3 linked regions of the Astyanax mexicanus genome follow. The protein of the gene in region 1 interacts with the protein of each later gene in a pairwise test. Links are inferred from orthologs where the notes say so. Each region holds a gene or a part of one and is shown in the gene's direction. Other genes may lie near its edges.

Region 1 (3,756 bases):
CCGGCAGCACCGGGGTGGAGACGGCCGCAAAGGCGGCGTCGTGGGACTCCTCCAGCCTCGTTCTCTGCCGGTGGAGCTCCGACTGCCTCTCGAGCAGGCGCTGGATCTGCTGATCCAGACAGACGAGCTCCTCGCTGAGTGTCAGAAGAGCACGATCCTCCGCACACGCCATTACCTCGAAGTAAGCACAAACACACAAAAACAACGGCAAAAATCGAGAAATAACACAAAAATAATGGCTACCTGAGGGATTTTATAAGTTTAGGAAGGTTATAAGACGGTTAAAAGTTAATAAGTAGTAGAAAACGTAAACAAATAGCTAAAACAGAGACTAGCAACAGAGACGAGCTAAACAAACAGCAAGCAGGTACTAACCTCAGAATCGCCACTAACCTCAGAATCAGAAATACACTCACTGACAAAAAATCATACACCCAACACTGTTGCAAAACTCAGCAGTCATGTCTAAGGCAGATGCAACTAATTACAGGTGTGGTCTTTCTACAAGGGGGCATAAACTTACCTATAACAGGCTCACAGAGGTTACTTTTGGGTAGCGAACCTCTTGATGAGAGTCTGTTGACTGTTAGACATGCCCCTATGATGCACATGTAGACATTTTGCCTAGTTGACAAACTATAAGAAGGGTGTATTACTGGACTGAAAGAAGCACAGTGGTCGTTGCAACAAACTGCCTGGCAGATTCTTCATCAGCCAGACACTAAATGCATTATAAACATGTGCAAATACAGATACCAATAGGAGGTCAAAATACATTACTGACCCCTGATTTTATCCTCTGCTGTATTTGATTTTGATTGATTAGCACAGTTTGACTTTGGCCACGACCACTGCTAGATCAATTTCAAAAAGAATACAGAAAGTTTGAGCATTAAACATATAAAGTTAATGACATTCAAATATACAACTATTATCCAACAGGAGACCACTCTGGTCACAAAACACATAAGTTAAGGCATCTAACATGTCAATAGAATAGAACTAGCATTGGAAGTACATAAACATAAATCTAAGCACCATATATTAGCACATACGCTGTGTAAATTTAAAATAAGCACATTAAATCTGGGATTTCTACTAGGACGTATGATGTATGGGTTTAAAGTTGGGGCAGCAGAGAGAGTTTATTGGCTTAAATGAAAGTTTATTGAGTTTATTAGAAAATTATTATAACATTTTAAAAGCAGCACTTGTATGTTTTATTGCTTCAGAGGAATACATTTCAGCTATTTATTATTTTTTTTTAAATTGGGTTTACGGTTTAGTTTCCTTTAATATAAGCATATACGTCAATTTACTCAATTTACATACTTTTTCTTTTTTTAAAAAAAGATTAAGTTAAAAAATTATTATATTAATTAGGTGATTATATGAGGTCGACATGTTGATATACATTGAATTTATCTGTTTTAAATGGTTTATGTGATTTTTTTCCCAGTCTGTTTCTGATTTAGAGCGGACTGTAAAGCGCTGTTCCCGCCCGGAGCTGAATCAGGGCTACACCGTGTCTCACTGAAACTCTTCCCTCTGTTGTTGTTGTTAGCAGCTAGCCTGATTACTAGACTCTCACGACCATGACTTTCTGACAGGCTGCGTTTAAAATACAGCAGCAGTTTTTATATATTTATCAAAATGAAAGCAGCGCCGGTGAAACGGACTTACTCCAAACTGCCCGTGTGGATTGTAGAAGACCACCATGAAGTGAGTCAGTCCTCCTAGCTAAGCTAAGATAAATTAAGCTAAATGAGCTCGTTTGGCTAAAAAAAAAAAAACCAGAGCACAGTGTTTATTAGCTTTAACTAGGTTAGATAACCTAGTTAGTTAGCTTAGTACTCAAACTTTAGAGATACAGCTGCGATTAATAATGACTGATATATTAATAGTATTTATAATATTAGCAGATATTAATAATAGTTCTGTGTCATATTTCTGAGTGTGGGGAGAATTGACCAGAACTGCAAAACTGTCTTAATTCGAGCATTAAACATCCAACCTAAACTAATAAAACCCCCTTAACATGTGATAAAAGCCTTTTAGTTAATATTATATTACAGTGTACGGAATACAATTGCAATCTAATTAATTTAATTGCAATAAACTCTAATTTACAAAGTTTGCTCTACCACAAATGCAGTAAAAGAAATAGGGCAAATTTGGAGCTACAAGATTAATGATAAACCTCCTTTATTTACTGTAGTGATGCCAGATGTGTGCCTACAGTGTAAAAGTAGGGCTGCAACAAATATTTTGATAATCGATTAATCTGTCATTTTTTCAGATATTGATTTCTGTTATCTGATTATTCAATCAGTAATATAATCTACATATTTGAATTTCATAAATCAAAGTATTTATCAAAATTCCAATTAAGCAATCTGATTAAAAAGAGGTGGATTTTAGCTCAGTATGCACATCTCTGCACATCTCTGAGTTCCATCACCTCGCGTTTAATAAAATAGTTTAAATAAAATTTGTTCACTGCCACATGCCGTAATTGCACTTTGGGTGCGCGTTTCCACGGAGATCCACGTAAACACAACAGCGAGTGGAAATGGAGGAGCTACTGAATGCGATGTCATGTGACTGAGAAAGCTAAAATTCTAAAAAAAAACTCACTAGTCCTCCTATTTTTTTTTTCAATTGCAGACCGGATGCAGGAGTTTTATCACTGAGTAGAAGTGTAAAATATTTTTCACAGACGTCTCTCTGAGAAACTATTCCCTCCCGTATAGGGCTTTAGTATTCTTAAATTACTTAAGGCTCTTTCTCATGCAACCAAGGAAAAATTTTAGACCAAAAAACATGGATGATTTTAACTAGTATTTTAGTGCAGCACTTCCCTAGACTTCTTTAGGGGTACTAGGAGGAGAGCAGAGCAGAAATCAAATTTTTACACTACTGATGATGCGAAAAGGCCCTTAGTGTGTGCATGAGTAAAAACAGACCATGTTTACCGAGGTACTTACCCCTAAACCATATTCTTTTCATTAATAGCTGAAATGTGTTCCTTTGATGTAATAAAACATACCAGTCCTGCTTCAGTTTTTTTTTAAATAAACCTTTCTTAACCTTTAAAAAAAAAGCTTGTATTGCAGTTATTTCCACCTCTGCAGTCCCCTTGCAGGTTCAACTGTGCTATAGGCAAGGATGAGATGTCTATGTACTTTGGTACTCAGACACTCACAGTATGCAAATAAGTCAATCAATAATACCACCCCCTTGTAATGTCCAAATCAAATATCTGCATCTTTATCAGAGGCAAATTGCTCAGCCCAATTAGCTCTCTCTAAACCCATGCATCACCCAGTGCCCCACCCAAACAAAAACATTTTTAAGCTTTTTTTTTTTTTTAATACATTTTTCAGATTTGAGCTGAGGGTGGAGTCAGCTAAAATCAGAGGGTTTGGTGACCTTTTATAAGCGATAAGAGAGATAGAGACAAAATATTTTATCTAGTTGATGTACCTTCATATTTTGGCTCAATTGAAAAAAAAGTGTGTCATGAAGTTTAGGTTTTCATGATGTTTGCATCTTATACTGTAATTTTATTGCTTACAAACCAATAACCTAGTTAGTTCCTGATCTGAGTAAACTCTGGGTTTCTCATTATCTGATTACTCAAGTTCATGTAAATGTGATGATCTGATTACTGATAAACTTCAGGGTATTCGGATTGTGTGTGCAATGATTTGACATTTAAAAGAAAACCTCCTCAAAAATAAGATGATATTATAT
Region 2 (3,756 bases), on another chromosome or scaffold:
CATGTTACACCCAAAACACACCCATGATTAATTAAGAGAATTAGTACATGCCTTTTGCACGTTTCAAGCCGCATAAGGCATATTTTTTGGGCCCTTACAATAGCAAAGACACAATCACATGCCCTGCATCCAGCTGCACAATACTCAATTGAATATATACAGTATATATATAATATGTATGAAATATTTACTGCTGCCTGTGGGACTGATGCTGCTTTTAAGTGCACCTCGGAAGCTCATTCTGACGATTTCAGACTAGTAAATGTGACGTAATTTCGAAGTAGTAACAAAATTAAAATGGAAAACTGAAACACAATAAAAACAAAATGCTTTTTTGTTTACTTTTGTGTTATATAATTGAAATATATTTACAGGTACTGCAAACAAAGCAAACTAACAAAGAGCAATGTAAAAGCATTAGGTAATCAACAATTTTGTCCAGTAATCAGTATTAGTAGCATGTACAGTACAACTGTTATGAGAATAAACAGTTAGAGTAAGCCGATTCCCCATAACACCACCTCAGCACCAGATGCTTCATCAGTCCATAGGCTACACTGTGTGTGCAATGTACCCACTATCATTAGCATTATTAGTAATTACATCAGATCATACCAGAGTTCTTCTGGTTATTGTTTTTAATCTTACAGGAATTAATGTTCCAATTGATTTCCTCTTTTAAATACAGAGTGGTGTATCAGTGTGGCATATAATTTTAAACTATTTGAAAGTATTATCAGCAGACTGGGGTGAAGTGTGTTGTAGGAGGTGCAGTTTGTGGTTGGGGTGAAGTGTGTGGTAGGGGGTGCAGTGTATGTTAGGATGTGCAGTATATGCTAGGGGTTCAGTGTATGGTATGAGGTGTAGTATTTGGTGGTGAGTTAAATGTGTGGTTGGGGTGAAGTATGTGGTAGAAGGTGCAGTTTGTCATAGGGGGCGCAGTGTGTGGTAGCGGGTGCAGTGTGTGGTAGGAGATGCAGTATGTGGTAGGAGGTGCAGTGTGTGATTGGGGGTGAAGTGTTTGGTATGACGTGCAGTTTGTGGTTGGGGATGAAGGGTGTGGTAGGAGGTGCAGTGTGTGGAAGGAGGTGAAGTGTGTGGTAGGGGGTGCAGTTTGTGGTAGGGGCCGGAAGGAGGTGCAGTGTGCTGTAGGGGTCGGTAAGGGGTGCAGTGTGTGGTAGGGGCCGGTAGGAGGCGCTGCGTCGCCCCGCTGTGTTTCCCTCCAGCTCAGAAGAAGACGGCGGGAAGTAAATATGGCGGCTCGCACACAGCGCGCTAATGCTAGCGCTAACGATTCATAAACACATCAAAAAGCGAATTAATCAACCCGGAGTTCATCAATACCCCGATCTATAATCCCGCACAGCGCCGCCGGAGCGGCCGCTTCTGCCCGGCGCGGAGGATCCGAGCTCCTGCACAGATTTACCAGACAGACCGAGCGGCTAGCGGGACAATAAAACAGTAACTGCCTTTATCATTGCTATTATTACTAATATTAAATTATTCACTGATATTTTAACTAATATAATATTATTTACTGATATTGTCAGGTATTTTAAAGGTTTTTGGAGTGATATAACCGTAAATTCGTTATTAGCTGCACGTAAATTCACAGTTAGCTTCCAATTCCTGGGTGCACCTTAAATCCTGCAGCAAGTGCTGCAGATTTTAAGGTGGAACGAAAAGTTAGCTAGAAAACAAAGCCAAATTCTCAGTTATTAGGGCACATTTTGGGACATATACAGGGTTAATGCTCTTTCGCTGACAGGGACAAGTTAACATTTATCAGTTCAGTCATCAGATTAACCAATTTTGGCACTCTGTAACAACAAAAGTGGAAAAAATCTAAAACGTAATTATTTAATAATTTTTTTTCCTCTAACTGAGATTCTGACTGTGAGAGGCAGAAATGCACAGCTTATAAAACTGTAAATACTAATGAAAACCATTTTGAGCTGACTTGTTGAAAATGTACTGATAAACATCACACATTACAGTGGTCTGAAAGGCAAACTTAAATAAACATTAATTATACATTCATGGGAAAACTATATGTCCTGACATAGTTTAACTTAATTCCTTTAGAAAAAGTCTGCCGTGTTTCATTTCCATAATTTACTGCAGAAAAAAGAACAGGGAGGTGTGTGGTGAGTGAAGGTGTGTTAAGGTGTGTTTGTGTTGTATTTTGCAGGTGAGCAGCCATGGGTCGCAGGTCCACCTCCTCCACCAAGAGTGGGAAGTTCATGAACCCCACAGATCAGGCCCGTAAGTTCTCCGCCCGTAACACACACACACACACACACACACACACACACACACACACACTCACACTCACATACACTCCTATACACTCCATCTGCCATGGAACCCACACTCTTACACATTGTACATCCTGTAACACACACTCTTACACATTGTACATCCTGTAACACACAATCTTACACATTGTCTATCCTGTAATAGACAACTCTCGCACTCTGTCCATTCTGTAATACACACTCTCACACTCCAACGTCCATCCTCCAACTCACCCTGTTATACACTGTCTGCCCAGAAACACACACACACACACTCACATACACTCCTATACACTCCATCTGCCATGGAACCCACACTCTTACACACTGTCCATCCTGTAACACACAATCTTACACATTGTCTATCCTGTAATAGACAACTCTCACACTCTGTCCATTCTGTAATGCACACTCTCACACTCCAACGTCCATCCTCCAACTCACCCTGTTATACACTGTCTGCCCAGAAACACACACACACACACACACACATTGTCCATCCTGAAACTCACACTCCATCCACCCTTGAACACACAATTTCACACTCCATCTTTCCTGGAACACACACTGATACACTTGTCCACCCTAGTCTTTTGCTTCCTCTCAGTGCTTCTCCCTCTCACATGATAGTAATGCTGCTGATACCTCAGACTAAAAATGCTTTTAAAACTAATGTTTGTGTGTGTTTAGGAAAGGAGGCCAGGAAGAGGGAGTTGAAGAAGGTAAACACAGCTTTTTCAGTACTGAGCATAAGGTGTTTATACGTTTTGTGTGCCACAGCAGATTTACTGTGTGTGTTTGTGTGTGTGTGATCTAGAACAAGAAGCAGAGGATGATGGTGAGAGCGGCGGTGCTGAAGATGAAGGACCCCCGCCAGATCATCAGAGATATGGAGAAACTGGATGAAATGGGTAAAAGCTGTGTGTGTGTGTGTGTGTTTAGTGTGAACTTTTGAACTAAATATTCATACTAAGTTCAGACTGCAGGCAGATCAGATTAGTTTCTGATATCAGATCTGTTAAGATGACTGTCAGCTCTTGTCCATTATTTGTAAGTGATGAGATTGAATTTGCATGTCTGGACATCACAAGCATATCTGCACTGGTTGCTGTGGTTTCCAGGTTAGAATCAGTAACTAGCCATTGGTGCTCTATTTGTATCCTCACACTTTCATTTTTAAATGTGATGAGGTTGTTGTTTGTCGTGTTGTGAAAGAGGTACAGGAACCTGAAATTAAATTTGAGAAGCATCTGTACATATACAGATTACCTTTTTATCAGATTTATTGTGGTGTCTGTCTGTCCAGACTATCAAAATCATTCTGAATACAAGGTTTGCCAAAAATCCGATTTGGGCTGGGACTCTTAACGTAGCCTTAGATTCTTGCTCATTAATGTGTGTGTTCTTCTCTTTCTCTCTGGTAGAGTTTAACCCGGTGCAGCAGCCTCTGCTGAACGAT
Region 3 (3,756 bases), on another chromosome or scaffold:
GTGAGCCGGACCCTCTTGAGCCGACGGCTGAAGCTTCGTGTAAGATTCTGTCCATGTGTTTCGTGCGTTTAGCGCAATCGCTGAGCCCGGACCAGATCTGCCGTGTAGAGTTAGGCTGAAGACATGAACGCGGGCTCACGCAACCCATCTGTTCGAATGCACTCGTCTGTCCTGAATGCACCCTGTTCTCTGGACGCACTTTCGCTCTGACAAGTGCTGTATGGGGTTTGGACGGCTCCCGGGGTCTGTCCTGATCGATGAGTAAGCTGCTGGGATGGTATTAAAGCTTTTTATCGCACTGATCAGAGAAATTAAGCTGCAAAGCCATAGGTATTATGGGAGCTAACCCACTACAAGAAGCTTCCGTCAAAACCCGTCGCTAACACCTTTTCCGGGGAAAGAGAGGGAAAACCTTGACTTAACTTGACTTTTATTTCGCATTATGGGTTCTGGATTAGGTTTTTTTTATTACAGATGTGCACTGACATGCCAAAATGTAGTGTGCTGTGTGTGGACATGCCATCCTTTATTCTCAGTGGACACTGCTGTCCTTGCGTGGTACGTTATCTTTGATGCACGTTACGCAAATTGAAGTTTGTTCATATTTAATTACTTTTATTACTTTAACAAGAGACCCCAGCCCTAAAATGGATTCATTGTGAAACGTTGCCATATAAAGTGGCTTCAGATTGGGAACACTCAGAGCTGTATAAGTTGTAAGGTGTTATCTTGAGAATGAGTGTGCTCATTGTTAAAGGCAGTCCTTATATGAGTCCCACCATTTCCGAAGTTTATAGAAGGGATCACCAGCCAAAGTGGTACAGGGCAATGTTAGCATTGGTAATGATCATAACCAGCGGCATCTGGCTAAAAATGTCCATGTGAAAAGACATGATACTGGTTATGTGATGTGTCTGTGTATATTTGAGAGTATTACCTCAGAAAGATGTCTGTTAATGAATGAAGAACTTCAGGTTTATGGAAAAAAATAAAAAAAAAACCCTCACCCACACTTAGGTTTGGGAACGTACCCAAACTGCACCAAGGACATGTGATATATCTTTCAGTTTCTTTCCCCCCAAACTTCAGTCTCAGCCCGAGTTGGACTTGGCCTTGGCTGTTATTGGCATTACCACCCCTGTAGCTGGCGTCTGTACACATTCTTTAATTGAGCCTTTAAAGCACCCCTCACAATTTTTGTGGTGAGAATTCGAAACCTGTAAACGTTGAGCGGGATAATTATTGTTTAATTCCCCATATTTCATTCCTGAAGGCAGCAATGAGCCTAAGCGATTCAAGCCTTGAATGAAGAACAATTTTACACATTTCCATTAACCTTCTGCAGCTATCCTCGGGGACAGTTAGCCTTTAGCTTTTATGTGGCTCATGGAATCTCAGTGTTCTTGGAGCCAGGAGGACATGAAGGGTTTGTGAGCCTAGCGGAGCTTTTTTTCTTCACAACGGTTCGCCAATCGAGTGACCGGAGAAACAAGCACAAGGGAACAGCCAGCGTGGAAAGAGCCTCCATCCAACGTCTCATATAACCCCAATTAAAGAGCCATTCAGGGCTGTTTCTGCAGAAACCATTTCCAGACCTTCTTCCTTCTCCTCCCCCTCTTTATATCAGTGTCTCTCTTTACCTCATTTTCTCTCTTTCTTTTTCTTTTTGTTCATCTCTGCTGTCCCATTTTCCCACTCTTTTCTCTCTTCCATCTTGCTCTTCATCTCTATCTTGCCAGCACTCCTTCCCGTAGTCTCTGTTGTTTTTTCTTTTCTTCTTTTCTTTCATTTGTCTTACGATCCCAGTGGGGTGACTCGGTGAGGTATTTCCTGCTGTAAGTCTTTCCTGCGCCGCTCTCGCTCTCTGCCCTGGGAGCTGTGAACCAGAGCAGGCGCCCGGCCCGACAGCAATGGGCCAGCAGAGAGCGAAACTCGACCTCCGTCCTGGCCCTGGACTCGTCCAAACATATGAGAGCATTGGAAGCCACGCTGATCCATCAGTAGCATCCACAGATCTGAGATGTTGTCTGGTTGAGACAGATTAAGCAGGGAACTTTGCCCACTCTACCCACGCTTACTTGCTGTAACCATCTCCGACCTGAAAGAGATGTGTGCAGGGAAGGTGGTGTCAGCCAGCAACCCCCTTGTGCTTTGAGCAATGACGGCTTCCTTTGTTCCCAGCAGTCTGCAGGAACTGACGTCAATGGAGATGTTGCTGTTCAAGCTCTGAACAGAGAATGGCCGTCTTTCTGGAACCATTTCAGCTTGGATCGCAAAAAAATGGGAGAAGCTTCCTTTACTTTCTAAGAATGCCGTAGGTGTCGTACCTAATTATCTACCATCTTAATGAATGATTTCACCTGTATTTTTCCATGGAGCATGATTTGTTCCTTTGCAATCTTTCTTGTTTGAATCTTTTTGATCGGTTGACCAACTCTTATGAACATTCCAGGAAACAGGGTTTATTATGCCATGCCATTTATTTTCCACAGAACAGTGGTGCAACTTTAGCTAAGTAGTTAGAGCACTGGGTCATTAATATCAAGATTGTGGGTTTGATACCCAGTTCTGATAATCTTCCCTGGTTGGGCCATTGGGCAAGGCCCTTAACTGTCACTGCTCCAAGGTCACCAGAGAAAGATTGGAGTCCACCCTAAAGTCTCTAGGTTTTGGGTACAACATGGGTACAACAGATTACTCTAGTGATTTCTCAATCTACTTGAAGTTTGTCAGATCCTGGTAGGAAAGCAGAAATTGGTACAACATGTGAAAAAGCAGTTTGACTCACAATTGCCACCCGACCTAGGATTTTCTACAAACCAATCAATGTCAAATATTAGGAAACACAGCTGTCATAGGTAATGTTGATGAAAAAGTTCTTTATTGAACTTGCTAAACTGCAATGTGAAACCAAAGCTGACAAAATTGACCAAATGTCTTGCATACAATGTAAAAAAAAAAAAAAAAACATGAACTTTGTCTCAGACTTTGGTCTGTACTTTGAGGTGTAAAAATGCTTTACACCTGAAGGTTCCAAAAGCATTTGCAGCCTTTTAGCCCAAAGGAGAAGCTTTCAGGTGTTTTCCACACTTCACTGCTTAAGAGTCCCCCAAGGTGTTATATGAACCCTTGAACTTGCACGTACCTCTGAGTGTCTATGAATGGAGCGTCTGTACTTTTGATACAGTATTACGTTTTTTACGGATTCGTTTTTACCTTCATTGATCCCTGATGAATTGACAGAGCTTTAGAAGGCATTTTTGAGGTTCATCACTCGTTTTATTTTGCTAATCGTGGTCAGCGGCAAGAGCTGGTCACCTGACCTTTTCTTTTTCCATTTGTCTTTCCTTATGTCTGTTTTTCTTTCTTTTTTCTTTTTTCCTGTGTCTTTTTTTCTTTGTCCTTCTATATTACTCTGTTCTTTAAGCTGGAGATGGCTGGAACTCATCCTGTGTTTACATGAGATGGGAAGCGGCTCAATGCAGTCCCCCCCCCGCCTCATTTTTTTCCCCCTCCTGCTTCAGGCCGGCAGTTCGGAGGGTAGACGTGGCCAACAGCCCACATCTGCAGTTTGGAGCGATGGAATTTGAAACGGAGGCAAAATATACAGGAGGGTTTGTTTTCATCCCAAGTGCTCCCACAAAGCAGAACAAGAGAAATAGAAAGCCGGAGAAAAAAGGAGAGAAATGAATGCTCAGGCAGTCCGCCGCTGGATCTTCTTTCCATTTTGATGTGAACTGTAATCCGCTGTAAGTG

The links.
Region 2: the proteins of c4h5orf22 (region 1) and WW domain-binding protein 11 interact in binary tests that used the Homo sapiens proteins (3 or more experiments, as listed by UniProt). The two-hybrid records come from large-scale screens. The link is inferred for Astyanax mexicanus from reciprocal best matches to the Homo sapiens genes C5orf22 and WBP11.
Region 3: the proteins of c4h5orf22 (region 1) and elof1 interact in binary tests that used the Homo sapiens proteins (3 or more experiments, as listed by UniProt). The two-hybrid records come from large-scale screens. The link is inferred for Astyanax mexicanus from reciprocal best matches to the Homo sapiens genes C5orf22 and ELOF1.

Annotation. Positions count from the first base shown.
Region 1 is NC_064411.1:36,990,767-36,994,522, forward strand, and holds the start of c4h5orf22 (UPF0489 protein C5orf22 homolog), read left to right. Parts: upstream 1-1,526; 5' UTR 1,527-1,653; coding exon 1,654-1,722; intron 1,723-3,756.
Region 2 is NC_064410.1:8,168,364-8,172,119, reverse strand, and holds the start of WW domain-binding protein 11, read left to right. Parts: upstream 1-1,206; 5' UTR 1,207-1,461; intron 1,462-2,191; 5' UTR 2,192-2,201; coding exon 2,202-2,265; intron 2,266-2,987; coding exon 2,988-3,019; intron 3,020-3,114; coding exon 3,115-3,208; intron 3,209-3,721; coding exon 3,722-3,756. UniProt on the Homo sapiens protein: Activates pre-mRNA splicing. May inhibit PP1 phosphatase activity.
Region 3 is NC_064426.1:39,527,200-39,530,955, reverse strand, and holds the start of elof1 (transcription elongation factor 1 homolog), read left to right. Parts: upstream 1-1,436; 5' UTR 1,437-1,447; intron 1,448-3,756. UniProt on the Homo sapiens protein: Factor involved in transcription-coupled nucleotide excision repair (TC-NER), a mechanism that rapidly removes RNA polymerase II-blocking lesions from the transcribed strand of active genes.